4 linked regions of the Saccharomyces cerevisiae S288C genome follow. Changing the gene in region 1 together with any one later gene gives a genetic interaction. Each region holds a gene or a part of one and is shown on either strand. Other genes may lie near its edges.

Region 1 (6,730 bases):
GTGGTGCCCGGCATCAAGTATTGCTTATACGACATCCATATCATATAAAACATTAGTTTTGACCACTGAAGTCTGCTCTCATTCTGAGTGTACTCCAACGGTTATTACCAGTGTTACTGCAACAAGCTCTACAATCCCCCTTTTATCAACCTCTAGCTCTACGGTATTATCTTCTACAGTATCCGAAGGTGCAAAAAATCCCGCTGCTTCTGAAGTAACTATTAATACCCAAGTTTCTGCTACTTCCGAAGCTACTAGTACTAGCACTCAAGTGTCTGCTACTTCTGCGACGGCCACTGCTAGCGAGAGTTCAACCACATCCCAGGTTTCTACTGCTTCCGAAACTATTAGCACTCTCGGTACTCAAAACTTTACCACTACTGGAAGCTTACTTTTCCCGGCTTTGTCTACTGAAATGATAAATACTACTGTGGTTTCCCGAAAAACCCTAATTATTAGTACAGAGGTATGTTCCCATTCCAAATGTGTCCCAACAGTCATTACCGAGGTTGTTACTTCGAAAGGCACGCCTTCTAATGGACATTCTTCTCAAACTCTACAAACGGAGGCAGTAGAGGTGACATTGTCATCCCATCAAACCGTAACTATGAGTACCGAAGTATGTTCTAATTCGATTTGCACACCGACTGTTATTACATCTGTGCAAATGAGAAGTACTCCTTTTCCATACTTAACTTCTTCAACGTCAAGTTCCTCTTTAGCCTCCACCAAAAAAAGTTCCTTAGAAGCCTCCTCAGAAATGTCCACCTTTTCTGTCAGTACGCAAAGTTTGCCTTTGGCATTCACAAGTTCAGAAAAACGCTCCACCACATCTGTCTCTCAATGGTCAAATACCGTTTTAACTAATACAATAATGTCCTCTTCTTCTAATGTCATATCAACAAATGAAAAGCCCAGTAGTACTACCTCTCCATACAACTTCTCTTCGGGGTACTCTTTACCTTCTTCTTCTACACCTTCCCAATATTCACTATCTACAGCTACTACAACAATCAACGGAATCAAAACTGTGTACACAACTTGGTGTCCATTGGCAGAAAAATCTACTGTAGCTGCTTCTTCTCAATCTTCCCGCAGTGTTGACAGGTTTGTTTCGTCGTCAAAACCATCCTCATCTTTATCTCAGACCTCTATTCAATATACATTATCTACTGCTACCACCACCATAAGTGGTTTGAAGACTGTATACACGACTTGGTGTCCATTAACAAGTAAATCGACTTTAGGTGCTACTACTCAAACTTCCTCGACAGCCAAAGTTAGAATTACTTCCGCTTCATCTGCAACATCTACTTCTATTTCTTTGAGCACTTCAACAGAATCAGAATCTTCATCTGGATATTTGTCGAAAGGAGTATGCTCAGGTACTGAATGTACGCAAGATGTGCCAACACAATCATCCTCACCTGCTTCAACGTTAGCATATTCCCCCTCTGTTTCTACATCATCATCATCATCATTCTCAACAACAACTGCATCAACACTAACGTCAACACACACCTCTGTCCCGTTATTACCATCATCTAGCTCTATATCAGCATCTTCGCCATCATCAACTTCGTTGTTATCCACTTCTTTACCATCTCCCGCTTTTACGTCATCAACACTTCCAACAGCAACAGCAGTATCTTCCTCCACTTTCATAGCGTCTTCTCTACCATTGTCCTCTAAATCATCATTGTCGTTATCGCCAGTCTCGTCGTCTATTTTGATGTCTCAGTTTTCATCATCATCATCATCATCATCATCATTGGCATCGTTGCCATCTCTTTCTATATCACCAACTGTTGACACTGTTTCTGTTCTACAACCAACTACTTCCATCGCAACACTAACTTGCACAGACTCACAATGCCAACAGGAGGTATCCACTATCTGTAATGGATCCAACTGTGACGATGTGACTTCAACTGCCACTACTCCTCCATCTACGGTTACTGATACTATGACATGTACTGGATCTGAGTGCCAGAAAACCACATCTAGCAGCTGTGATGGTTACTCGTGTAAAGTATCCGAAACGTATAAATCAAGCGCTACAATATCTGCATGTAGTGGAGAAGGATGCCAAGCTTCCGCTACAAGTGAGCTAAATTCTCAATACGTCACGATGACGTCTGTCATTACCCCAAGTGCCATAACAACAACATCAGTGGAAGTGCATTCAACTGAATCCACTATATCAATTACTACAGTGAAGCCAGTTACATATACATCCAGTGATACTAATGGAGAACTGATAACCATAACAAGTTCCAGCCAAACTGTAATTCCATCAGTAACGACGATAATAACGAGAACAAAAGTGGCCATAACTTCAGCACCAAAGCCAACAACTACGACCTATGTCGAGCAACGACTTTCCTCCAGTGGGATTGCTACTTCTTTTGTTGCTGCTGCATCCTCAACTTGGATTACTACACCCATTGTCAGTACGTATGCTGGTTCGGCGTCAAAATTTCTCTGTAGTAAGTTCTTTATGATAATGGTAATGGTGATCAACTTCATTTAATTTCCCGTATATATTATATGTACGTATATATGCTATAAACAGACACTCTTTTTACTTACCTTTAATAATGCTTGATGAGAAATCAGTCATTGTTACTTCTTCCCCAAGGTTGTCATCATAATCATACCATTCATTATCCTCTAGTTGGCATGACATTACTTTCCCCGAACTTAGAGAAACTTCAAACGTTATGGTGTCGGGATAAAATTTGATTAATTCACAACCTCTGCAATCAAGGCTTAAAGGAATGAAAGAATCTTCTTTGACCTTCGATAAACCATGCTTCTTCCGCACATCTTTTATCTTGGCCCATTTGTCGTCACTCTGATCAGTTAAATATTCATCCTCAAAAGCGCACAGGTTAACTGACAATTCTTTTGAACAAAATTTACACTTCATCAAGAAAGATGCGGTACCTTTTGATGCCGGCATAGCATATTCTTCAAATGTATTGATGATGACTTTAGAATCGTGTAATTCTCTACAACTGGTACATTGTAGATCGAAGGCAAATTCTGCCCTTGATTCGTTTGTATTCTCAATTGAAACCTTGGTCACGTTTTCTGATAATGTTGCTTTCAGAACCAAAAATAACGGCATTATCGTACACAACCTGGTTTTCTTTATTGGTTAAGTTGTCTTTATTCAAAATTTTTCATTACTTCTTATAAACAGCTTCTTGACGCTTGTAATTTCATAAGTTTTTGATACAAGCAATGGAAACAAAATTAAGAAAATGTAGGCAACGAAGAACTAAATTTGAAAAAAAAAAAAAAAAAAATTTACTGCCAAGATCATCTAAATTATCTTATAGTAGCAAAGCTTGAGCATAAAAGGATCAATCTTTTAGTTTTTTATGGCAAAGTACATTTGCAGTAAGTAATTAGTGATGAGATAAACAAAGAATAATAATCCAATTCGAAATCAAAAATTCAAACAACAAAAAACATAATTTCACATATATATCTAATTCATTCACGAAAAACACGTCAGTTCCTTCTGTCTGTTGTAAATAGGATGCATCCGCAGTGAATCATGGAAATATTTCAAAACTTTCAGCCCAATCATTTTATTTGGTCAATGAAGCCATAAACGCTCCGTAATTCTAAGATTAAAAAAAATTCATAAAAATAAGGACCAATATAAATATATATATTTAATGTGCTAGTGACAATCCTAGTGATAAAATTGCAAATTATACTACAATTGGTCATGGTGAAGCCTAAACACACCATTACGTCTTCACAGTGTTATTCATTTTATTTTCAAAGGTATGCTACTACTAATGCACCAGTGTATACCATGATACGGTGAAAAGGGCATGTAATATTGCGTTAATTTGTCGATAACCTTTCTTTACGTTTAAATTTTTTTTTTATAACTGGCGACACTAAACTTCTCGATAAAATACAACATAAAAAGCAGTACCTAGCTAAGCGAACAACAGATAATAAATAGCTAAACATCTAGGTTAATAGCCAATTAGCAATACATTTAAGGATTGATAGTGTGGTATTTACAAGGTAATAGCCCGCTAGGCTATAAGGAAACTACTCTAAATTCACCTTCCATATATGTGACTGCCAAGAAAATATTACTAGTTATCAAGCTTTTTTTGTGTGCATTCAACTTCAACGAATCCTTCGTCATCAATGAAACAAAAGAACAAGCCAGAACTGAAAAAAAAAAATCAAAACCACTAAGAATGTCACATCCTTCCAAAACTCCTGCTGGCTCTTCAACTCTTCAAAGAATATCAAGATAAATATCATTATCTCCAGTGTGGCCGACCCATGCATGAGTGCGAGGAGCATTAAGTTGGATCCTGGGAAAACATGTCAAGGACATTCAATAAAGTACTTTTCATACTACAACAGACGCTAGAAGAACTAGAATGTAACCGTGAACTGCCTCTCAAACACATAATTATGATAGCGCCGTCTTCGGCATCCTTTTTCGGAAATATACTTTCCTTTTTCCCTCTTTCAGCTATATTGTTCAAGGAGTAACATAAGACATAATAACCCCAGTTTTTTTAGAGAAAGTTCTTCTTCTTTAATTATAGTATGTTTGAAACGTACAAGAATTCATTGAGTGCCCTAAGGATTACTGCAAACAAGGTTCAACAGTGTTGGTACACATGACTCAGCAAGAATACCGTTCCCCCTCACAACGCTTATCCAAGGGGAGGAGCATGTCGCTACCCAAAATATTTGCTCGTAATTTGAGATCTCTGCAAAACAATGCACCTCCTGGCAAAAACATCAATGTCAATTGTTTGAACGTCAATTCTTGTTCGTTGTCCGCAAGCCCAAGCTCACAAATTAATATGGCTTGTAATGGAAACAAGCAAGATCTTCCCATACCGTTTCCCCTGCATGTAGAATGCAACGATAGCTGGTCAAGCTCCAAACTTAACAAGTTCAAATCAATGTTTAATCATAACAGATCAAAGAGCAGTGGTACTACAGATGCGTCAACTTCAGAAAAAGGTACGCATAAGCGTGAACCCCGGTCGACGATACATACAGAGCTGTTACAAAGTTCCATTATCGGTGAGCCAAATGTCCATAGTACTACAAGTAGCACACTTATACCCAATGAGGCGATATGCTCCACACCTAATGAGATCTCAGGTAGCTCTTCTCCGGACGCGGAGTTATTTACCTTTGACATGCCCACAGACCCGTCATCCTTCCACACTCCTAGCTCCCCAAGTTATATAGCAAAGGACAGTAGAAACCTGAGTAATGGATCTTTGAATGATATTAACGAAAATGAAGAGCTCCAAAATTTCCATAGAAAAATCAGCGAAAATGGCAGTGCCTCCCCCCTGGCTAACTTGTCATTATCCAATTCACCAATTGATTCCCCAAGGAAAAATAGCGAAACCAGAAAGGATCAAATACCTATGAACATAACACCACGTTTAAGGAGGGCCGCTTCCGAACCGTTCAATACGGCAAAGGATGGGTTAATGCGGGAAGATTACATTGCCTTGAAACAACCTCCAAGCTTGGGAGATATTGTAGAACCGAGGAGATCTCGTCGTTTAAGAACCAAGTCATTCGGTAACAAGTTCCAAGACATTACTGTCGAACCTCAATCCTTCGAAAAAATTAGACTACTTGGCCAAGGTGACGTAGGTAAAGTGTATTTAGTGAGGGAACGCGATACCAACCAGATATTCGCCCTGAAAGTTTTGAATAAACATGAGATGATCAAGAGGAAGAAAATTAAACGAGTACTCACTGAACAGGAAATTCTCGCGACAAGTGATCATCCATTTATTGTGACACTGTATCATTCCTTTCAAACCAAAGACTATTTGTATCTCTGTATGGAATACTGCATGGGAGGGGAATTCTTTAGAGCCTTACAAACAAGAAAAAGTAAATGCATTGCAGAAGAAGATGCGAAGTTTTACGCCAGTGAAGTAGTAGCAGCTTTGGAATATTTACACCTACTGGGCTTCATATACAGAGATTTGAAACCCGAAAACATATTACTGCATCAATCTGGTCATGTCATGCTTTCTGACTTTGATTTATCCATCCAAGCAACGGGATCAAAAAAACCCACCATGAAAGACTCTACGTATTTAGATACAAAAATTTGTTCAGATGGATTCAGAACTAATTCCTTTGTTGGTACTGAAGAGTATTTAGCTCCAGAAGTAATCAGAGGGAATGGCCACACTGCAGCAGTAGACTGGTGGACTTTAGGAATATTGATTTACGAGATGCTATTTGGCTGTACTCCATTTAAAGGAGATAATTCAAATGAAACATTCTCTAACATTTTAACCAAGGACGTCAAATTTCCACATGATAAGGAAGTTTCGAAGAATTGTAAAGACCTGATAAAGAAACTACTAAACAAAAACGAGGCAAAAAGGCTTGGTTCCAAATCAGGAGCTGCAGACATAAAGAGACATCCCTTCTTCAAAAAAGTTCAGTGGTCGTTCTTAAGAAACCAAGACCCCCCTCTAATACCTGCATTAAATGATAACGGCTGCGAACTTCCTTTTATATTGTCTTGCAATAAACACCCGAAAAGGAACTCAGTGAGTGAACAGGAAACCAAAATGTTCTGTGAGAAAGTTGCAAACGATGATGAAATTGATGAGGCTGATCCATTCCATGATTTTAATTCTATGAGTTTAACGAAGAAAGATCACAATATCTTAACCTACTC
Region 2 (10,653 bases), on another chromosome or scaffold:
TCATCGATGGCACCTTGAGCTTGCTTCAAGAAATATCGTTTGTTTCCGATCTGGTTCTCCAGGTTCTTTATGTAGACATCCAGGACATCCTTTTCAACATCCATGTTTCCTTTGTGAGACTTTCTGCCGTTTGCTCTTGTCCCTCTTTGTCGTCATATGCGTCTTGTTTGTTGTTACGCTGCATATCAAAGCGAACGGTTAGTTATTAACTAACGTAAAAATTGATGGAAACATTCATTTATATGAAAGTATTGAAGAAGAGGTAAAAAGGAAAACAAATTTACAAACAACAAAGAATGTCTTCTCTATCAACGTCTGATTTGGCCTCCCTTGATGACACTTCCAAAAAGGAAATTGCTACTTTCTTGGAGGGAGAGAACTCCAAACAAAAAGTCCAGATGTCAATCCATCAATTCACTAATATATGCTTCAAAAAATGTGTTGAGTCTGTCAATGATTCTAATTTAAGTTCGCAAGAAGAGCAATGTTTGTCTAACTGTGTGAATCGGTTTTTGGATACTAATATCAGGATTGTGAACGGGTTGCAAAACACCCGTTAATATGAAACCGATTTATCTCTCCGAGTCATTATTCTCTTTACCTTAATATATCTGTAAATAAGCAAATGAATATTTTAATATATGTCCAAGGTTTCTTTAAAAGGGATTCTTCAGCATAAAGGGCAAATAACTCTTTTTGTTTATATACTGTCTAGTTATATATATATATATATGTATATGCATTTGTCTGTGTCTGTGTCTGTTTCCTATGAGAACTCAAAAAGTAACTGAAACCGCGGTTGCTTAGATAGAGTCGATAACTGTTCACCCATAGCGCAGTCACAATTCAGCAACCAGCTTATCGTTTCCTTACATTGTTGTAGTATTGATTCGTTCAACGCATCCTCTTGCGAACACTTATCGTATGTAACTAGAATTAATGATAAAATGTCGAATCTGTGAGCCACTATTCTTTCATTCGGGCAAACCTTTATGAGAGTACTTACCACTGAAAGAGTTTTTGAAATAAGTTTTGGAAAAGTTGTGTAAAAAGGATTTCGTACAATATATTCACCTAAAACAAAAATCAGCCTCTGGAGATGTACAACAGACCCTTCTCTTTGAAGTCTCAGTATGTTCATTGTGCATTCCAATGCGTATAACGTCAAATTTTCGTATGCAAGGCTAGCCCTAGGAATTATGTTTTGCAAGATTATCTCTGACATGAACTTTTCCAGGTGATATTGATACTTTGTGTAATTGTCCAAAAATTCTACTTTATATAACGACTGTATCGTTGGGAAAACGACCCGCCATATGGCTATTGTTTCATCAGCATTGTATGAGGGAGGGAGAAAATAGCACATATTGATTAGCGTCTTTTCGAACAGTGGAAATAAACCAGTACTAGAGAACTGTATCCATTTTGAGTCATTGGTTTCGTTCATAAAGGTATGATTTAATAGCGTCTGTAGGAGCAGAACACCACGAAGTTTAATTCTTCTTATATCAGTGGTATCATCTAGTATGTTTAGAATTCCTGGAATAATCCAAGAAAGATTCGTAGATATGTCTCTCCTTTTCAAATGTAACAGAATTACGTAGAATAACGGAATGCCTTTCAAGCCACCCTGACTTACCCACGCCTGCATTAGGTTATCTTCTTTCAAAGACATTCCAAGCGTGGGTTTGAGACCAAGATTACGTTGCTCTTTGAGTTCGAAGTTGCTTTTGCGTTTTAAAAGTAGTGGCTGTAACTTAGAAATAAGGACGCACATAATTTCGTCATGTTCACTTTTGTTACGCTGAAAGTAGTAATCTATAGTCTGCAAAACATCTGTGTTGATTTGTATGTCTACTCCTGGAGATATGGAGTGATATGAGAGAGATTCAATAAGGTTGACCTCATCGGACACCGTAATTGCACATCCAGTATCTGTCTTCTTTCGTAACTGGAGACACAACTCTCGAAGCCTTGTAGAAGAAAGACTCGAATCATTCAATTCATCGATGATATCAGTTACGGCCGTCATTCTTTTCAATATTTTGTTATATGATTTTATTCTTCACCTCGTTTTCATTCTTCATAGTTTTCGTTTCTCATCTGCTATTGAAAAACCGAACTAGCCGAAGGATAACAATAATGAGTCTTAACTGTTAATATACAAGATTATACAAATAAATATGTTTCTATAAAATAAAAAGTTATATTCAATTGCGAAAAAAATAAATAAATGTGGGAAGAAAACCCAATAGTATGTCCTACTATGTCATATGCTATCATTAATAGGCATCTTCAGACACATCTTCATGGAAGTATTTACCCTCGGTGGTTGGTTTAATGATACCTACTCTTATACAGAAATCACCAAAGTGTTCCCCTTCTTCTCTTTCTAAAGCATACCTTTTAAACAATGGTTTGATGTAGTCGACAATTTCCTCATCCTTCACATTGGCCTTATACAATTTGTTTAGCCTTTGGCCGAGGTAACCACCACCAAGCATCAAGTTATAAGTATGTGGAGCTTTACCAACAAGAGCTAATTCACCTAGCCATGGACGAGAACAACCGTTAGGGCAACCAGTCATTCTCATAATAATGGAATCATGGCGTAAACCATACTCTTCTAAACAATCTTCCAACTGAGTAATAATGTCAGGTAGGAAACGTTCAGATTCGGCAAACGCTAAACCACATGTTGGCAAACCAACACAGGAAGATGAAGATAATCTCAAACCGCTGAAATCGGTGTTATCCAATTTATAGGTCTTTAAAATAGATTTTATTCCAGCAACATGTTCATCTGTAATATTAGAGATAACCAAATGTTGATTACCAGTCAATCTGAAATGACCAGAATTAGTCTTAAGCATGTATTCAGCAACCTTTCTAATACCTGTCTTTTGAGGCAAATCTGGTGTATCTTCAACCCTACCATTTTCAATAAATGCGGTAAAGTGGTTTAACCCAGTTTCATCTTTAATCCATCCAAAGTAATCAATATTAGATTTAAACTCAAATGGTCTCTCAGGCTCGAATTTCTTACCCCAGTATTCCTCCACTTTTTGCTTGAAGCCTTCGACACCCATATCATCTACAGTATACTTTAAACGAGCATGCTTACGGTCTTTACGGTCACCGTGATCTCTTTGGACAATAACGATACCTTCAAGTGGTGGAATAATGTCTTCAGTTTTAACAAAACCTAAGCATGACCCTAATCTTGGGTAAGTTTTCTTGTTGTTATGAGTGGTACCCATACCACCACCAACAAAAACATTATAACCCTCCACGATTTGAGTTTCTGGGTTAACTATAGCAACTAAACCGACATCGATAGATAATACATCCACATCGTTATATGGAGGAACGGCGATGTTGAATTTAAACTTTCTTGGCAGATAAGTTGGACCGTAAATTGGTTCAATATCGACCAAAGCGTTACCGCTAACTAGAGTCTTCTTTTTTCTTGGACCATCTTTTCTGTTTTCAAAAATAGATGGCCAGGATGGATCATCGTCCTGTTCTTCTGGGCCCTCCAGCCAAACTTCGTGGTAGGCCGTAGTCTTTGGTAAGAAATGATCAGAAATCAATTTTCCCATATCAGCGATTTGTTGGTGAACCTTGGCATTGGTTGGTAGAGCAGAAACCATGACATTTCTGTTCACGTCACCTGCAGCAGCTAATGTATCCATAAGAACTGCATTCATTCCTCTCAATGTGTGTTTCAAGTTCTTCTTTAGCACACCATGAATCTGGAAGGTTGCCCTTGTTGTTAATTTCAGGGTACCATTGCCTGAAGTATCAGATAAGTGATCCAGAGCAAGCCATTGTTGTGGAGTGGTCTTACCACCTGGTAAACGAGCTCTTGCCATAAACATATAGTATGGCTCTAAGCCTTGTGACTTACGTATTTCTCTAATGTCACGATCGTCTTGGGTGTAAATACCGTGAAATTTCATTAATTGTTCATTAGCGTGAGTAACACCACCTGAAGAAGTATCCTTTAAGTTCTCACTGATAGTACCTCTCAAGAAATTAGATTCTCTCTTAATATCCTCGTTTGTAACAGGTTTTGGCTCATCATCAACAGCAGCGCCGGAAACACCAAGAGCTTCCCATAATTTAGGTTCCCACTCAGAATAAGCAGTTTGGAAACCATCAGCATCTTGATCATCACCCAGTCCCAAGGGAATTAGGGCTTTGGCACTCAATAATTCCAAGCGCTTAAATAAATCCTGTGAAGGCTTGTTAAAATAATGTTTATCTTCTTTACGTGGCCAATACTCAGAATCACCGAGACCAAAAACAGCAACATTCAAACTAGCTAAATCCAAGTCGGTGTCATTTTTCAGAGCTTCCCAGAAAGACTTACCGTCTTGGGGGAATTCACCTTGCCCAGCCGTGGAAGTAATGAAAACTACATTCTCTTCACCAGGTAATTCTTCCAAAATAATGTCATCCATGGACAGAACAGTAGCCTTTAAACCTCTTGCAGATGCCCTTGCTGCTAGTCTCTTTGCCAAGTTTGCAGCATTACCACCGTCAGAAGCATAATAGACGTGTAGCGGTGGGCCGGACAAACCCTCCAATAACTGATCGAAGGCAGCCTTGCTTCTTTTTTCTTGTTTCCTTGTCAACGCATCACCAGCAGATTGCTTTAGATTTCTTGACAAAGATGGATCTTTTCTGGTTAATAGGGTAAGCTTATTCTCACGGTCTAAGAAGTCCTGTAATTGTTTTCTGATAACCGAAGAATCCAAGCTAAATGCCTCCTTATCTGTTGATGGATCGTCATAAACAGGATTAAACCTATACAATGGCCAGTAACCAGATTCAACGGCGTTTTTGGTTTCCTTTAAGACTTCTAATGGAGTATCATTTTCGGAATTATACGGCAAATAAGCCAAGACAATAGAAGGACCATTGTATTTAGATGCCTCTATTATTGCAGTCAATAGTTGGGTGTAAGAAGCATATACTGCTACAGAGGCAACATAGGCACTGTAATAATTCATGGCGTACAAACCAACATCTTTCTTTCTATCCTGGTTTTGCTTTCTATGGTCATATGGCTCTGAATCAATCAATAAAACATTAATGTTTTTACGGGAGGATAAAACCTGTTGAATACCTGAGTGACCCAAATCATAAGACCAGGCATCGGAGCCAATTAGCCAGCTTGATTTGAAAATAAAAGAATCGCTTGTTGGAGCTATCTTTAAGAATTTTAAGACAGTAGAGGAATCTTGATTAGATTGTAATAACTGAAATATTTCCAAACCTGTCGCATTGGCCTCTTGTAATTGAGCTTCGTCAAGATCGCGTCCATTGAATGACAACCATTTAGATAATAGTTGAACAATTTTATTTGCATCCTCGGACAAGTAAAGACTTGGATCAAGAGAGGTTTTTGCTAAGCTGATCAATTCTTCACGCTGGGCTTCTTGTTTTAAAAAGCGTCCAAAACCAAATTCTGGATTACTTGGTTCAATTGTCTCACTGGAAAATTGATTCAAAATTTGTAGATTTGATGAAAATAACTGTTTTAGCACTTTGATATAGGCGTCTTCTAAGTTCACAACTTTTTTGACAGAAGAAATAAGTTGAGTAACTTCAGCTTGTTCCTCAGCCTTTTCATTGGATTCACCTAAAAATAAGTTATTATCTGGTTCCTTCTTGTTAATATTCGATATGACGGTGTTGATAACGTTGCCATAATCATTCACATTACCAATATTAGTCAACACTACCTGCTCGATGTTCCTAGAAACTAATTCATTAAAATTGCCAAAGAAGTCCAAAAGAAATGGTTGAAATTCGTTTGATTGCGATTTCTTAGAGACACCCTGTAAAACGGCGATTTTGGTAACAGAAGATGGCAGTATTTCCAAGAACTTGGAAAAATTCCATGGTCTGTATACTCTAATCTTGATCAATCCTACGTTTGAAGGCAATACGCTACTGAATTCCGCGTCATATGGTGACAGGTTAACAATGACAGTGGTAATTGACTCTTTACCTTTAACCAGTTCAAAATTTGTCAATGAATCAGTAGCTTCTGATAATGCTACTTTAGTCTCTTCGTTAGCAATCTCCAAGGTAGGAAAGTCGATGTCTTGTTCAATAGCTGTACTCGTGCCAATTTTCTCCAAGTTAAGAAAATGGAAAACTGGGGTCAGAGAACTTGTAGCAATCTTATAAGAAGAGTCCGCGTTTGAAATTGCAGTTTGCAAATCAGAAGATATTAAGATGGGGAAAGAAAGATCCTTTAACGCAGGAATTGCGGAATAATCTTGCAAATTCAAATCCACTGTAATCACCAATGGAAGTTTATTAGGAAGAGAATATAGATGGTGGATGGATTTGACCAAAGTAGTTTCATCTGTAAAAACGGTAGTTAAAATGTCCTTAGAGAGTTGATCTTTGATGGTATTCAATGGATCTTGATTGTTCAATAGATGAGTAGCATCTGTGGCAACAGATTCTAGCCCTTTGAAGGATGAATGACTATTTTTTGTGCTAGTAGTGTAGAACACTTTATTTTGGGGAGCACTAGAGGAATATTGCGCCAACAATTGTGGGAGCGTCAAGAGGTCAGAAGCAGTCATTCGCCAATCTTTTGTTTTTCTCTGGTTCCCGTTCCCTACTGTTACTTTATTAGTATATAAGGGATCTGAATAAATATCAAGACGATGGAAAAAAAATAACAAGCAAAGGAACCTTTCTATATCCCAATTTTATTTCACATTAAAAACTATCGTCTTCCAACACTTTATATAACTGCTTGCAGCGGCCAGTAATTCGTCGCATCTCCATGACTCAAATTTTCCAGTGTCTCTTAGCAGTTAAACCATTCCTGCCTCTGTGTGGTGGTAATTGTGGCATTATGAGTTAAGAGATAATACGCACGTGATGAAATTCATTCTGTGAAATATCACGTGGACAAATTATATTACCCGGATTCATAAATCCACGTATTTTACCTGCATCTTTATTGAGTGCTTAGTAAAAGTCAGTTGGTGAAATTCCGCAGATAAAACAGCATATTAGTTGCCTGAAAATAGCCTTATGTGTTGGTTTGATACGTCTTTGTCATTATATACCCAAAGGTTTGTAGTTCATGTTGCGGGTTGGTATGAATAAATTTTTCGTATTTAGTGATTATAATACTTATTACCCATTTCGGCGGCTAATAAGGAATCTGCTAAGATAGGTAAATGTACAATACCATCAATGGCTTCTAAAAGTTTTCAAAGAAGTGGGATAAGGGATGAAAGTTGTGCGTGTGTTGGTTACTTAGGTTCTAATTTGGCTTCAATTTGAAGTGAGATGTTTTGTTTAACATTAGTTTCAAATTAACAGCTTTTGTGAGAAAATATATTTTGGATGAATAGCAGAAAATAGAAATCTGGAAATAAACAAAACAGAGCCAAAATTCTAAGCTTAATAACATGAATATTTGTTTATCTAGCATCTTGTTCCTCCCACTCTTTTTCCGAAAATATGGCTAGCCAACTTAGGTGAATGGGGAAGGGTACTAGATTCATTCATTTATTTCTATTCAAGGACAAGAACTTTTAACATAGTAAGACCTTTATGTTAGTTTGGTGCGGCTGACAAATTCATAGCTAATGTGCTAGAGCTCTTATATTGGTAATTACTAATCCTTCATTGCTATTATGACTATCACATTATAAGGTAATGAAAAATTAAATCATTGTGTACGGATTAAGTCCTTTCTCTAAAAGAGATCACGTGACTATTTGAATCACTATCTATGTTAATCATTATTGTTTAAAAGATAGTAAGTGACAGAACAACGAATTGTTTCTGTAACTACTTTTTAAGCAGGGAAATAACTCAGCACTGACAAGGGACACTTTTTAAGGATGTTCGCTAAATTGCATGGGAAGAAACAAAGACCAATTTCTTCCATCAATTCACAAACTCCAAGGACTAGCAATACTACTCACGCAAATAGCATATCCTTATCATCGGGTAATTTGATAGTAGGTTCCAATAGAAATTTAAGACAAAAGAAAGAGCAGTTTGGTTCTCAACAAAGGGCTTCCGGCAGAAAGCTGATTTCAAATAAGGAAAATGACGATAACGTCAACAATGGTGGTGACAACAATTATGACAATGGGGAACGGGTCCATCGCCATCATATTCCAGGACTGAAAATAAAGGCGTATCAAGCTGAATTAGGCTATCATGAGTCCCGATTTTCCGAGAATTTAGTGATGCTAAATCTAGTTGAGTTCCCGGATATAAAACCTGGTGATTTGGTAGAATTGAAAACATATCACAAAAATCCATCTGCATCGAACGGAGATAAGAAAATTTATTTTATTGCAAAAGATTTTGACGGAGAGACTAAAAGAAGGGCAAAAACATCTAATGTTTCAATACTTTCGGGTCAACTGCAAACTTTGTTAGATTTGCCTTCTAGGTCTAGGATATGGATAAAATTGAAACCAAACAAATTTGACTTACAGGCAGATGTGGTAGAGTTTAATATCAAAGATTGCCTACTAAATAGAGGTGATATGTGGGTTCTATCATCTAAGCTGGTAGATACATGTGTGTTTATGGATCAAAGACTGGCATTCTTAGACTCTATCAGAGGTACTATTAAGGGAATTTATCGAAATGGTAAGAAGATTGTTTCTGGATATATTGGCGAACAAACAAGGATAATTTTTCGGTCCGAATCTGCCAGATTAATTTTTTTGATTCAAATAACTGATGAAATGTGGAACTTCGAAGAAACTGGTGAACAATTATTTCAAAAGATGGTTAATTCATTTTTCCCGAAGATCTTCAAAAAATGGAAAGATGTGGACACCCACCATACTATCACTATAGCCTTCGCTATATCAATGGACTTGTCTGATACATCATTCAAGGACTTAACACCCGGCGAATCTTTGAAAAATTCACAGGATTATTTTAGGATAGTTGTAGATCAAGTCAGTATTATCCATTGGGTTGATATTATGGAAACATTAAGAGAAGAATTTATGGAAATCAGAAAAGATTTATTAAACAAGCAAACGGATAAGGGTTACAGTGTAGCGAATGGAAGATTTTCACCTGTAATCAAGTCGAATTTTCTCGAATTGGTCAATTTTGCCACGACAATTTTAACGGATCCTTTCAAGCAATTAGATCTTCGACACACTACAACGCACGTCATGATTATTTCACCAGGGTCTGGATTATTTGACGTTGATTATAGTTTATTAAGGCTAACAGGAAAAAAACTACTCTCTCTTGAAATGACGATGGATTTAATATGTCTTTCAAAAGCTCCATTGCACATAGTTCCACTTTTTAGGTACCGAGACTTTGAGAACAAGCTTCATCATTGTGTACCGCTTTGGTTAAGTGTTTTCTTTTGGAATGATCATGACAAAAAGAGTAACTCAGAATGGACTCCAAGATGTAAAATTTATGACTTACAAATGATGGGGATTACTGAAAATGAGTTAATTCGGGAAGTGGATGTTGAATATTTACAGCTGAACAAGAAAGTCAAATCACTATCCGAGTTTATGAATGATTACGACAAAAATGCCTTCGAGGTGAAAATTTTATGCGCTGGCTCTAATACGAAACAATCTAAGAAATTAAATTCAAAGTTTGATACCGTCTTCGAGAATGATGTTGTTGTGAAGGCAAGGAAAATCCCGGCAACAGCAACAACAACACACGGTAACACAAAATTCATATGGAGAGGTCCAAAAGTTGCTCTCCCAGCCATTAAGGATATTCAAAAACCAAACGTAATACCAGATCTATCAATAAAAACAATAGAGGCCTCTTTTTATGATGATTGTAATACTACAAATGATAAAATTAGCACTCCCACCACTTCTAACAATGACAATCTCGAAATGAATGACTCATTGGTCTCTGTGAGATCTGCTGATAACCAAAACACATCTTTGGCGCTGGATTCGCTCAAAGGACTAAGCAAAAGGAACTCATTGAAAGATTTTACTCAAAGAGTAATTACAAAATTTATTTCGAACATAGACACAAGTAAAAATAAAAAAATAAAGTCAACATTACTCAGAGATGATGTGGATAACTCACCTTTAGGTTCAAATACACCACTACCATCTTCTGAAAGTAAAATAAGTGGCCTGAAATTACAACAAAAAGGCCTGGCAGATGAAAACGTTATCAGTAAACGTGGAAATTTGATAATAAAGAAAAACCTATCCATTTTTGGGCTACCTAGTAATGAAATCATGAGTGGTTCACCCTCCTCATATTTAGGCTCATCACATACCAGAACATCCTCTAAACTTTCTAATATGTCAGACAAGGCTGCTTTCATTACAGAAGGGCAAAAATCAAAACATGATGACTCGAACACTTATAGCCTCACACAGCAATTGAAACATCGTATAAGTGAAACTTGGGTGGATATTAAAAGTCCTTCCATTCCGGTAAGTAGTGAATTTGCCAACGAATTATTGCCTATACGTTGGAAAGATGTATGGCCAAAATATGTGGCCAGAAAATATAGTAAATGGAGGTCTTTTACAACCCCAGCAGAGTTACCAATCACAATTTCTGATTTTCCATCCAAGGATGATTTTGATAGGAACTTCATCTTCAGAAATCACTCAGTGACTT
Region 3 (7,436 bases), on another chromosome or scaffold:
CTTCCGTCAAACAAGTCAGTAAATCTGGTAAGACTTGTATTTTAGATATTGATATGCAGGGTGTCAAATCTGTCAAGGCTATCCCAGAGTTAAATGCCAGGTTTTTGTTTATTGCTCCACCATCGGTCGAGGATTTGAAAAAAAGATTAGAAGGTAGAGGTACGGAGACCGAAGAATCCATCAACAAGAGGTTAAGCGCCGCTCAAGCTGAATTGGCATATGCTGAGACAGGTGCCCATGACAAAGTTATTGTCAATGATGATTTGGACAAGGCCTACAAGGAATTGAAGGATTTTATCTTTGCAGAAAAATGATGTAGCCCTATATAGACATTACTAAGTATGTACCTGGTAGGAGAGTGCTGTCGCAAAGCGACAAAACGTCCAATTATTCAATTAATATAGTGTAAAAGTTCTCAACGGGCTTATGCTAGTTTTTTTTGTTAGTAAGCGCTACGACGACTAGAACCATCTCTTGAATTTCCAAGTGCCAAAATCAATGACCACGGATACTGTGGCCAGGAATCTGTTGGTTGGTCATCCTCAAGATCTAGACAATATCATATTGGGCCAGTATCTGATTATCTTAACTATATGCGCCCCTCTAGTTTACAAGTTTTAGTCATTGGGGGTTGGAAGGGCTGATCCCCCCTTACAATTGGCGTCGTTTAGGAGCGGGCGAGGCTCTCCTTTCTCTTACACATCTGCTAAGGTGTTTGTTACCCGAGTAATCAAGGATCAACTATGGATGAGATTTAGATTAACGTATTTAGAGCAGACGATTGTAAGAATATATTTTGTAATTTCGATTGTTTTTTGCTACTTACATTGTTTATCTTGAAATATCCAAAGTGAACACTATTACTGTTTTTTGCTCAAGAATATATTAGCCTTACAAGAACGTAAAAAACCAATCATGGTAGCAGAAGTTCAAAAACAAGCCCCACCATTTAAGAAAACCGCCGTAGTCGACGGTATCTTCGAGGAAATTTCACTGGAAAAGTATAAAGGTAAGTACGTTGTTCTAGCTTTTGTCCCATTGGCTTTTTCATTTGTCTGTCCAACTGAGATTGTTGCGTTTTCCGATGCCGCCAAGAAATTCGAAGATCAGGGCGCCCAAGTTTTATTTGCCTCCACCGACTCTGAATATTCCTTACTGGCATGGACCAACCTTCCCAGAAAAGACGGTGGATTAGGTCCAGTTAAAGTTCCTTTGCTTGCTGATAAGAATCATTCCTTATCCAGAGACTATGGCGTTTTGATTGAAAAAGAAGGTATAGCTTTAAGAGGTTTGTTCATAATCGACCCGAAGGGAATCATTAGACATATCACTATCAATGATTTATCTGTTGGCAGAAACGTCAATGAAGCTTTGAGATTAGTCGAAGGTTTCCAGTGGACTGACAAAAATGGTACAGTTTTGCCATGCAACTGGACCCCAGGAGCCGCCACCATCAAACCTGACGTTAAAGATTCCAAGGAGTATTTCAAAAATGCCAATAATTAATCTTCGCACGATAACGCTAGGCCCTATTAAATAATTAAAAATACATCACCCTATATATGATAAGAAAGATGGTTTTGTATTATTATGAAATTGACTTGAAAGAATAGTGTAACAAAAGAAAAAGAAACTGTAATTGAAGAATGATATGCATTTCTATGTGTATATTAACTTAATCATCTTTATATCCAGAAGACGCAAATGACCATTCGACGTATTTTTCCCATGCAGGTTTGTTTTCGTATAATCTGCCTGCAAGATCCAAATAACTTCCTACTGTTAACGAATCCATTGAGTATGGTTTCTCGTCTGAGGTATATTCTATCTCATACCTGAAAATATCCTTAGATTCAACAAATGAATTATGTAATTCTTGATTGATTTTTTCCAAGTCGGCGTAGAATTGGACGAAACGCGTCGGAGTGAATAACTGCGGTACATATGCAGGGCCGAGTTCGTATTTGTCTGGCATCTCAATTGGCATAGTCTTGTCATTTTTCTTTTTCTTCTTGTTTTTCTTTTCGCCCATCTTCTCGCGGTTGATCCCAACCTCGATATTACTGCTGTCCATTTCATCTTCTAGCAAAGAGTCTTCCATAATCTTATTTAGTGACTCGAAAAATTCATCCCAGGGCTTATACTCCGAAACTGCAAAATTGGAGTCATTCACTATGTCGGTGATGTTATATTCCCAGATCCTAAAGGAAGGATTGAAAGTTGGAATGACTGAACCACCTATGTTCACAATGGAATAGCGTTCAATGAGCTCTTTTCTAGTGATTGGCTTTTTCTTTTTTTTGTCCTTCTTTTCTTTCTTTTTCTTCTCATTTTCAACATTTTTTTCATCCACTCTTTCCAGCTTATTCCACACTTTCCGATAGTATGTGTCGCGGACGGTGTTCATATATGCTTCTTTGTTAGATGGTTTCGCTCCCATTAAAAAAACTTCTTTTGCCGCCATAGCGTGATCCAGAATTCTATTCAATTCAGTTTCTTCGTCCTCTTCATTACTGTCTTCTCCTTGTTGAACACGAGTGGATTGCTCCATGGCTTTCAATAACGATTTTCTAGCTTTTTTACCATCCGTTGGGATGAAGTGGTCAATATTCATGTGACCGTATAATCCTCCAATGATTATATCCCTGTATTCGTGAGTCCATAGCGTGAACTTATCGTAGCACGACTGATCGAAATTTTTTGCGATTGGAGGTACATGTCCACTTAACCATACTTTCATTCCCCTACTCCTTAGTTCTTCTAATACATAACCGAACCAAAGTAAAAGTTGGTAACCTGGTTCTTTTTTTGAATTACAATTGTCAACTAACGGATTGGCCTTGAATAAGTACAGCGTGTTAATTGACAGGACAGCAAGCTTCCCTGGAATAACTTCAGTCAAAAATGAAGCACTCCTATCAAAAGTTCTTTGCTGCTGCTGCGGAACAAAATTTTTCCAAATCCTATAATATTCTCTAGTTTGTAGAGTTGGTCCTAGTGCAAACATGTTATGTGGAAAGACATCATTGTTTCCAAGACTTGGAATGACAGACACATCAAAATCTCTTGGATCTTCTTCATTGCCAGCACTAAATAATTCTGTCATTTTATCAGCAACGATATTGTTCATATCAAAAATTTGTGCTTCTGTTCTTGGATGTTTCCGGTCATTGTCATGTCTGATATTATCACCCGTCCAAATGACAAAATCAATCTTATCTCTAAGATTTTCTTTAATCCATCTCAGAGTTTCTTCCATTAAAATAACGGGAGAATCACATCCAGACATTGCCTTCCCAAACTTGGGTGCCACATCCTTTTTTTTGCTTGGTTTTCCTGTGTGACAAACTGCATCAATAGAGCTTCCTTCCACATAATAAGGGTCAGGATGAATATCGGTAATATGAAGGAACCGTCCATGTAATTTTCTCTCCTTCCCTGTCTTTACGTCTTTGATAATTACTGGCTCCCTAGGTGTCAGTCCTAGCCTTGTAAATTCTATGTCATTGAGCAATTGAAGTGACTCGTTGTCCCCCCTGTCATCTAAGAATTTGGAGAAAACGGAAACATATTGAAATTTAGCACCAATTATAAACACGAGGAAAAACAAAACACAGGTCGACAGGATGGCAATCAATGATTTCTTCTTCGGCCTACTCATGCTTACATTGCGCACTTCACTCTTACCCACTACAACCATCGAAAAGCAGCTAACTAGCTCTACCCCTACTCAATGAAAACAATAGCTGGAGACAAGGAGATCAAAAAAACTTTATAATTCTCCAACCCAACAACCAAAAAAAATATTGATCTGTTGATTTTAGCCTTCTTCTGACTTGTATTCTACCATAAAACCCTTTACACTCTCAAATGAATCTTGGTAATTAAAAGTGCAATATAACTTTAAAGGTGCTAAATTCTAATAACGACATATGTCCTCAATAGTCGGGTAATGGTCATATTTGTCCTCTACCGTACGAAGGGAGCATATTATGCATCCTGCTCGAAACGCTCAGAGAAGGGCCGCACAGGTGGGCAGATCACATTTCCTCTTTCGGCTATAAACCACGTCCTAATTTGGACATGACGCGCGCCAAAAACCCGGAATGGTAAACATCAGACGCGCTTTCCGTGCAGGGATACGTCGGTATTTTTAATATCAATGCTGAATTGGGTTAATAGCATGAGACATTTCAGCCAGATTTTTCGTTTACTCATTGTTTATTTGTTTGATCTGGATCACACAGATGAATGTTTATAAATATATATATGGCGTCCTCCCGATCTTGCCAACGTAGATTATAATTCGTATTATCTTCTTCTTTACCCTCGCCAGCCAGTGTAACTAGCATTTGTAGGGAAATAACAATAACACAAAATATCGTATATATATAACATGGAAAGCAGAAATACCGTGCTTCCTTCTTTACCAAACATTATTACAGGTACTTCTAATTCGCCTTTCCAACTGCATACTTTGCCAAATACAAACTTCCCTAGTGATGACCAAGGTGACATCAGGTTGCCACCATTAGCTGCATCTGCGCACATTGTGAGACCAGTGGTAAATATTTATAAAAGTCCTTGCGATGAGGAAAGGCCAAAAAGGAAAAGTCCACAGGCTGTGGATTTCTTATCACAACGTGTAACCACTTCCATGACGCCTTTATCCAAGCCCAAGAAGCTGAGCTCTCATTCACCATTCACGCCAACGGTCAGAGTCTGTTCTAAAGAGCAGCCACCTCAGAGTATGCACTCTTATAAAAAAGTTAATATTCTTACTCCTCTATCTGCTGCAAAGGCTGTTCTCACACCAACCACAAGAAAAGAAAAGAAAAGGTCATTTGCCTTTATTACACACTCACAGGAAACTTTTCCAAAGAAGGAGCCTAAGATAGACAATGCTCGGTTAGCTCGTCGGAAAAGAAGAAGAACTTCATCATATGAGCTTGGGATATTGCAAACAGCATTTGACGAATGTCCCACGCCCAATAAGGCTAAAAGGATAGAGTTATCCGAGCAATGTAATATGTCCGAAAAATCGGTTCAAATATGGTTTCAGAACAAAAGGCAGGCTGCTAAAAAGCACAAGAACAGTGGCAACACCAGCCATTGCAAAGTTCACTCTAATGATTCGATGTCTATGATATCTTACTCAGACGCTGCGTTGGAAATTACCTCTACGCCAACGAGTACGAAGGAGGCTATTACTGCAGAGTTGCTGAAAACTTCACCTGCCAATACGTCCTCGATCTTCGAAGACCACCACATAACGCCTTGCAAGCCCGGCGGACAGCTCAAGTTCCACAGGAAATCTGTGCTTGTTAAGAGAACATTATCAAATACCGGTCATAGCGAGATTATCAAAAGTCCTAAAGGCAAGGAAAACCGCCTAAAGTTCAATGCATACGAAAGAAAACCCCTTGGGGAGGTCGATCTCAATTCTTTCAAAAACTAATCTTTCTCAGTGTTTATTTTCTTGAGCACTGATGCTATCAATATTAACAAAAACTACACAAAGTAATGACTGAGACTACACCAACGTTTTTTTTTAGATTTAAAGCGGCCTGTTTCATAAATCTATATAGAGATGTAATATTATATTCTTTCAAGGGTCCATTTATCCCTGAAACCCTGTACAAAAAAAAGGCAAGTTGAAATTATGGTCACAAAATTAATTTTCTTTTCTTTATTTATTTTAAAAAAAAGTCAATTAGGAAGTGCTATGGAAATATATGTACTCGTACAAAAAAGATTAAGCTTGAATAATCTTATCAGTTTAAGCTCTTCTTCTACCAGTGGTCTTGGTGTGTTGACCTCTAACACGCAAACCCCAGAAGTGTCTGATACCACGATGAGCTCTGATTTTCTTTAATCTTTCCAAGTCATCTCTCAATTTGGATTCGACGTTGTTAGCCAAAGTGTGGTAGTCCTTACCATCAGTGATGTCATTTTGACGGTTCAAGAACCAAGCTGGGATTTTGTAGTGAGTTGGGTTTTGCATAATTTGAACAATTCTTTCCAATTCTTCTTGGGTCAATTCACCAGCTCTCTTGTGTAAATCAACATCAGCCTTCTTACAGACCAAGTTGGAGTAACGACGACCAACACCCTTGATAGTGGTCAAAGCGTAAACGATCTTAATGTTACCGTCAACGTTAGTGTTCAACAAACTGCGTAAAAAAATTTAGACGGGAAACCGAACTTATTGATAAACGTTAGTAAAAAATGTGCATAATGGATTTCACGGCCAAGACAAAAATCGGAGCAGGATATAAAATTTTAGTGTTGGTTGGTCAATATCCGCCAATAGCTGATTCATTGTAAAGCATTCCCGGTACTTTACCTCCGACCGCTATTGCAATGTTCCGTAATTATGTGCGCTTATGCCAAATTCATGTTCCTTTTTGATGCATAAACCATAAATTTGTTCATCAGCCTTATTATTACGTTCTTAGTCCAGCCCGGGAACATCATTATTATATTTAATCACGTCGTTAGCGAATAATCGCCACGATTAAAGAGGTGAATGAATTTCCTTTCTTGTCTGTCATATTTTTAAGTTTTTAGCCGATTTTGTCATAGCTCACTAGTAATAATAAACATACCGTAAAATGTGTTGGAAGGAACCTTGTTCTTGGACAACTAAAGACATCTTTTATCCGCTCTTGTGTATACGTTCACTAGTATCTCAACGTTTAAAAACTCTACTAATAACATGTAGAGCTATCTTCAATTAACCCTAGCTTTGACAATACTTAGTGGTCGAATGACAGATGTGTCCGACCTGGCTGGGGCGACATTTGCTCTCCCGGGCATGATCTTGGGATGGGCATATGGGACTGGGAAAGGCATCTTTCGGAATCGCAGTTCCCCTGAGCGCGCGTCTCCGCAAGGAAACACCATATGCCGCTTCAAATTTCTAAAAGCAGCATGTAGAATATTTTCAGATAGCATGCATGGGTGCGTAATGTACGGATGTTTAATGTCTTTTTAATCATTGAAATTAAATGTACTTTTTTGTTGCCAGACACGAAACTGTACGCCAGTAAGTGATGTGGATGCTATTTTAAAAAAGTTTTGGATATAATGGCCTGCTGTTCCTAAAATATACTAGAATTAATAATATCGTTCTCAATTTATGCTCATGGGCCGTTTAAAAAAAATACTTTGTAAAAGTTAATTTAAGGTATTGACTGCACAAGTGACAAATTATAACCACATCTCTATTGAAACACTTGCCGTGATCAAGATTATATTATACATGTATGCTATTTAATTTTTTCAAGTCCTATTTTTACTTGTTTTCAGGTGCAAAACTGCTTTAGCGCAATACCGGTAAGAATAACGAAAAAAACTTGTAGTATCAGTACTTTATGCTGCGGGTGATAAAGTTCGATGCGTCAAAATATTACTATATCGTTAACATTATGAGC
Region 4 (6,670 bases), on another chromosome or scaffold:
ATCAAAGAGCGTTATTTTCCCACAGTCATATGATCCAACAATCACTACATTATATTTCGACAACGATTTTTTTGATTTGTACAATAACAGATTGTTGAAAATCAGCGGTGCACCTACGCTGAGATTAAGATGGATCGGTAAACTGCTAGACAAACCTGACATATTTTTGGAAAAGAGAACTTTTACAGAAAATACCGAAACTGGTAATTCAAGTTTTGAAGAAATCAGATTGCAAATGAAAGCCAAATTCATCAACAATTTTATTTTTAAAAATGATCCCAGTTACAAAAACTATTTAATTAATCAACTAAGAGAAAGGGGTACTCAAAAGGAGGAACTGGAAAAACTTTCTAGAGACTTTGATAACATCCAAAACTTTATTGTTGAGGAGAAGTTGCAGCCAGTTTTGAGAGCTACCTATAATAGAACTGCTTTCCAAATTCCTGGAGATCAAAGTATTAGAGTCACTATCGATTCCAATATCATGTACATTAGAGAGGATTCTTTGGACAAAAATAGGCCCATTAGGAACCCTGAGAATTGGCACCGTGACGATATTGATTCCAATATTCCCAACCCATTGAGGTTTTTAAGAGCAGGAGAATATTCGAAGTTCCCCTATTCTGTAATGGAGATTAAGGTTATAAACCAAGATAATTCTCAAATGCCTAATTATGAGTGGATTAAAGATTTAACTAATTCACATTTAGTTAACGAAGTTCCAAAATTTTCTTTGTACTTGCAAGGTGTGGCTTCACTGTTTGGTGAAGACGATAAATATGTCAACATTTTGCCATTCTGGTTGCCCGATTTAGAAACCGACATCAGAAAGAACCCTCAGGAGGCTTACGAAGAAGAGAAGAAAACTTTACAAAAACAAAAGAGCATTCATGATAAACTTGATAATATGAGAAGGTTATCCAAAATCTCTGTACCAGATGGAAAGACCACTGAAAGACAAGGGCAAAAAGATCAGAATACTCGCCACGTTATTGCAGATTTAGAAGATCACGAATCATCAGATGAAGAAGGTACTGCATTGCCCAAGAAATCTGCAGTCAAAAAAGGGAAGAAATTCAAAACGAATGCAGCTTTCTTGAAAATTCTTGCTGGAAAAAATATTTCAGAAAATGGAAATGATCCATACTCCGACGATACAGACAGTGCCTCTTCTTTCCAATTACCTCCGGGAGTTAAAAAACCAGTTCACCTTTTGAAAAATGCCGGTCCTGTCAAAGTTGAGGCAAAAGTTTGGCTCGCCAATGAACGTACATTCAATAGATGGTTAAGTGTAACCACATTGCTGAGTGTATTGACCTTTTCTATCTATAATTCAGTGCAAAAAGCCGAATTTCCACAACTAGCTGATCTGTTGGCCTATGTATATTTCTTTTTGACTTTGTTTTGCGGAGTATGGGCTTATAGAACCTACTTAAAAAGATTAACTCTTATTAAAGGTAGAAGTGGTAAGCATTTGGATGCACCTGTGGGACCTATTTTGGTTGCAGTTGTATTAATCGTTACCTTGGTTGTTAACTTTAGTGTGGCTTTTAAAGAGGCCGCTAGGAGGGAAAGAGGATTAGTAAACGTTTCCTCCCAGCCTTCGTTACCCCGTACACTAAAACCAATTCAAGATTTTATCTTCAATTTGGTTGGGGAATAAGAACATGTATATTTTTTATATACACATATATTACACAAGTACCAGTTACTATCATAATTAATTAATTGTTCTCTATTTATACATATTTGCTCTTCCGTATTAAATCATATTAAACAGCTTTCAGCAGGTGCCGGCGCCGCCTCTTTTTATTTTCAAAATTCAAAATGCACATAATGAGAAGATGTGTGTGATAGTTAAACCCAGATCAAAAAATAGCTGAAACGTTCGTTTCAGCTCCGCAAATCTATATTGCTAATTAAAATTATTCATCAATATCTACTTCTGTTTCAGTTTTTTTCCTCTTCTTCCTCTGACCTTTGGATATCATAATAATGTCAGTTGAAGTAGATAAGCACCGGAACACACTACAGTATCATAAAAAGAACCCTTACTCCCCTTTATTCTCCCCAATTTCTACATATAGGTGTTATCCTCGGGTATTGAACAATCCCTCCGAGTCTAGAAGATCAGCCAGTTTTAGTGGTATTTATAAAAAAAGAACCAATACGTCAAGATTCAATTATTTAAACGACCGCCGTGTTTTATCAATGGAAGAATCAATGAAAGATGGGTCAGATAGAGCTAGTAAAGCTGGTTTTATAGGAGGCATAAGAGAAACTCTTTGGAACTCAGGTAAGTACTTATGGCACACATTTGTGAAAAACGAACCTCGCAATTTTGATGGTTCTGAAGTAGAAGCAAGTGGTAACAGCGACGTTGAGAGCAGAAGTTCTGGAAGTAGGAGCAGTGACGTACCATATGGTCTACGTGAAAATTATTCCTCGGATACAAGAAAACACAAATTCGATACGTCGACGTGGGCCTTACCAAATAAAAGGAGAAGAATCGAAAGTGAAGGTGTGGGGACACCTTCAACCTCACCAATCAGCTCTTTGGCTTCTCAAAAAAGCAATTGTGATAGTGACAATAGCATAACTTTTTCGAGAGATCCTTTTGGTTGGAATAAGTGGAAAACAAGTGCTATTGGTTCTAACTCAGAAAATAACACTTCTGATCAGAAAAATAGCTACGACAGGCGACAGTATGGGACAGCCTTTATTAGAAAGAAAAAAGTTGCAAAACAGAACATTAACAATACTAAACTGGTGTCGAGAGCACAATCTGAGGAAGTAACATATTTACGACAAATATTCAACGGAGAATATAAAGTTCCAAAAATATTAAAAGAAGAAAGAGAAAGACAGTTAAAATTAATGGATATGGATAAGGAAAAAGACACTGGCTTAAAAAAGTCTATAATCGACTTAACTGAAAAGATCAAAACAATTTTAATTGAGAACAACAAGAACAGACTACAGACAAGAAATGAAAATGATGATGATTTAGTATTTGTTAAAGAAAAAAAGATATCTTCTTTGGAAAGGAAACATAAGGATTACTTAAATCAAAAGTTGAAGTTTGATAGATCTATATTAGAGTTTGAGAAAGACTTCAAAAGATATAACGAAATTTTAAATGAAAGAAAGAAGATTCAAGAAGATCTTAAAAAAAAGAAAGAACAATTGGCCAAGAAGAAACTTGTTCCTGAATTAAATGAAAAAGACGATGACCAAGTACAAAAAGCTTTGGCATCTAGAGAAAATACTCAGTTAATGAATAGAGATAATATAGAGATAACAGTACGTGATTTTAAGACCTTGGCACCACGAAGATGGCTAAATGACACTATCATTGAGTTTTTTATGAAATACATTGAAAAATCTACCCCTAATACAGTGGCGTTTAATTCATTTTTCTATACCAATTTATCAGAAAGGGGTTATCAAGGCGTCCGGAGGTGGATGAAGAGAAAGAAGACACAAATTGATAAACTTGATAAAATCTTTACACCAATAAATTTGAACCAATCCCACTGGGCGTTGGGCATAATTGATTTAAAAAAGAAAACTATAGGTTACGTAGATTCATTATCGAATGGTCCAAATGCTATGAGTTTCGCTATACTGACTGACTTGCAAAAATATGTTATGGAGGAAAGTAAGCATACAATAGGAGAAGACTTTGATTTGATTCATTTAGATTGTCCGCAGCAACCAAATGGCTACGACTGTGGAATATATGTTTGTATGAATACTCTCTATGGAAGTGCAGATGCGCCATTGGATTTTGATTATAAAGATGCGATTAGGATGAGAAGATTTATTGCCCATTTGATTTTAACCGACGCTTTAAAATAGTTATTCTTTTATAATATACAATTATTATACATAAGTAGAAATATTCAGATCATTGGATATGGAATAAAGTTCAATAAACCACTTGAAAATAAATCATAAGAATAGCATAAGCACCAGCTCAATTTAGATGTCTGTACAAAAAGTAATATATTTTAGAGATGAGCAGGCAGAACCACACATTAGTGACGATTGTCTTCGACCTTATGTGGAATCTTAAGCTTTAACATATAAGTAAAAATTTTTATTTTCAACAAAAGATTAGAACGAAATGAAATTCCTTAATTGAACCTTCTCTTGGATATCAATCTATTGGCAATCATTCCTAGAGAATATATTATTGAGTGAAAACTGTAGATACGTGCTAAGCGGTAAAGCCCTTATGAACATCGTCACACTATCTCTATATTGAGCCTCCGTAAATTTCGAATCATTTGAAATTCATTTTTCCTGGTAGGAAGATACTTGATAGTGGAGGATAAGTAAAGTAAATTGTGGTTATCATTTATTTGGTGGTAAAGTACCTTTTTTATGTTTTTTTTGAAGATGGAAATTCAGGCATTTTAAAAAAATAGAAAGCTCGAAATATCTCAAAAAACATAAAAATAGAGGAAGAATCCGCTGAATATACCATCTTTACAAACTACTTAACTATTTATTTTTAAATATAAAATTTTTAGTACCATCATCGGAGGATTGTTGCGATCGTATTTTTTTCTCCATTTTTTTCCTATATGCTATGCCACATCGACTACATAGCTCAACATTTCCATTAGGTCCACTTCTCCACTGAGAAGTCCAGGTGTCACCACAAGTGGCGCACTCTTTTGGTTGACCGTTGGGGAGTATAGTTTGTTTCTTCCTACTTTTAGGTCTATATCCTGCTAAAGATTTCTTTCCATTGGATGATATTGGTAGTGATGAAAAAGATGGGGCTGGTAGAATAGAGGGGTTATGCAAAGGCCCACCAAGACGACTTTCTTCCTTCAATTTTGGACTCAGCGCACTATTTAAGCTTTTGATCTTCTGTTCAAGAATATCTGCTCTTTTTAAATCTGGCGTGACACCAGATTTCGGGATACTGGCTACTGAACAGCAATAATTGGGATTAGCGGCAATGAACAGAACCATTTGTACAAAACGATCGAAGTGGAATTTCGTTCTACGACCAGAGCTACTAGCGCCGCTTGTTCCCTGCTCTTTGTTATATAACATAATATGATTTAAAAGTTCTATCACTCAGCACTACAACGCAGTATTTTTATTCTAGATGACCAGTATAGCAAATATTGTTACCCTTGAGATATTGGTAATTTAACCAAATCTCAAGTCATAAATGCCTCCCTTTTAAGTTTACATAGGCAGTGGACAGATTGGTACATCATATTAAAGGAAATAATGAACGCTAAAAAGAATGCCTTTTACTGACACATTCACTTTTAATACGAAAACGGATTTTGTGGTATATGACGTTGAGCACTGCGTGGTTTTCTGTGAATCCGCCGTGCCTAAAATGGACCCTTAATTATTTAACAATAGACCGGCCCGAATAATGTTAACATGAAGGGAAAAGTGCACATAACTGCAAACTACTTTGGTAGGTTGATTATCAGAGCTAAGCCATCCTACAGGTAATGATTTCCAAATTTTTTCTTAAGTAAAAAAGTTCAGAAAATAGAAGAAATATAAAATTTAAAAGGAATTACTGTTTACGAGACACATCGTTCATTCTTGGATAAATATACAAATCTACTTAAGAAAAAGCTTTCCTTATTTGTTGTTTCCTACTTTGTACCATTTGGTTTATTATATATCGTTGTGGAAAAGAAACTTGGTCTCTTGAATCTTAGTCGCAAAAGAAAATTTTTACCCACATAGGTAATGGAAAAGAGACAAAATTATTTCTGGACCTTATTCAAGAGGATGAATTTGAAGCATTTATTAATAATGAATATGATTGTGCGCTTCTAAGAAAAACTCACGGGTAATTTGGCTTAAAATGATTCACTAATGCCACGCTCAGATTCCACCAAATACGGTTAAAAAATCAAAAATAAATGAACTTCATTTGGTCATTTTTACTGCTAAAAAGTGGAAGATGAATTGCGGATGATATGAAAAATTTGAGTGAATAAACTATGAACGCGAAAAAAAGAATATATATGCGGAATAAAATATCAAAGTAAAAGATTCAAAGAGCATGTCTAACTTATAACATATACGGTCGAAGTCACCAAATGAATATTGTTATTTTCACTATAGTTAATCGCATTTTATACTGATGTTTTAACAGGGTTCGTTAAATTAAACAATATTTTACACAGGTGCTTCAGGAACATCATTATGATGATCATGTAAAGCGTTATCATCAGTGGTCTTACCAGGAGATTCAAGATTTTCATCTGTTGACTCTTGTTCTTGTTCTTCTTTTTCTGTTCTCAAGAAGTAGTATATTCTATCCGTCAAATCTTCGTCATTAATAAGTTCATTAATCTCATTCCATGAAAGCTTTTGAAGCTTATTGAAGCTCTTGATCTTTTTGCGGAGATTGAAATAATCAATTTTTGACACTCCAGGAACATTCAACAGTCTCTTGAATTTAGACTCGTTATCACCATCCTTCAGGCCCTTTGCAGTGCTATTAAAATCCGATCTAACTTTATTCGTTCCCAATATAACTGCATTACTAGGGTCAGGTTGCTCACGTCCTAATTTCAACTCTAGGATTATATTTACAGTTTGCAGGGGTGAGGAAGACCATATAATCTTTAAAGTGGGAAACCGCAATACTAATTTGGCTAGTTTTAGCTGA

What was found.
Region 2: mutations in YCR090C (region 1) and MET5 together harm fitness more than expected from each alone (negative genetic interaction), as found in Saccharomyces cerevisiae (one large-scale study listed by BioGRID).
Region 3: mutations in YCR090C (region 1) and YHP1 together harm fitness more than expected from each alone (negative genetic interaction), as found in Saccharomyces cerevisiae (one large-scale study listed by BioGRID).
Region 4: mutations in YCR090C (region 1) and ECM23 together harm fitness more than expected from each alone (negative genetic interaction), as found in Saccharomyces cerevisiae (one large-scale study listed by BioGRID).

What each region holds. Positions count from the first base shown.
Region 1 is NC_001135.5:269,731-276,460, forward strand, and holds YCR090C (uncharacterized protein), read right to left. Parts: upstream 3,134-6,730; coding exon 2,585-3,133; downstream 1-2,584. Other genes in the region: FIG2 (Fig2p), read left to right, coding at 1-2,533; putative serine/threonine protein kinase KIN82, read left to right, coding at 4,674-6,730.
Region 2 is NC_001142.9:676,675-687,327, forward strand, and holds MET5 (sulfite reductase (NADPH) subunit beta), read right to left. Parts: upstream 6,612-10,653; coding exon 2,283-6,611; downstream 1-2,282. Other genes in the region: MCM22 (Mcm22p), read right to left, coding at 1-104; protein transporter TIM8, read left to right, coding at 297-560; TTI2 (Tti2p), read right to left, coding at 767-2,032; GTPase-activating protein IML1, read left to right, coding at 7,893-10,653. UniProt on the Saccharomyces cerevisiae protein: Catalyzes the reduction of sulfite to sulfide, one of several activities required for the biosynthesis of L-cysteine from sulfate.
Region 3 is NC_001136.10:1,359,142-1,366,577, reverse strand, and holds YHP1 (Yhp1p), read left to right. Parts: upstream 1-4,396; coding exon 4,397-5,458; downstream 5,459-7,436. Other genes in the region: GUK1 (guanylate kinase), read left to right, coding at 1-314; thioredoxin peroxidase TSA2, read left to right, coding at 916-1,506; PPN1 (endopolyphosphatase), read right to left, coding at 1,676-3,700; 40S ribosomal protein uS13 RPS18A, read right to left, coding at 5,780-6,173, 6,609-6,655.
Region 4 is NC_001148.4:509,504-516,173, reverse strand, and holds ECM23 (Ecm23p), read right to left. Parts: upstream 5,074-6,670; coding exon 4,510-5,073; downstream 1-4,509. Other genes in the region: VTC3 (vacuolar transporter chaperone), read left to right, coding at 1-1,663; SUMO protease ULP1, read left to right, coding at 1,996-3,861; ssDNA endodeoxyribonuclease RAD1, read right to left, coding at 6,175-6,670. UniProt on the Saccharomyces cerevisiae protein: Involved in morphogenesis. May be involved in cell wall organization and biogenesis.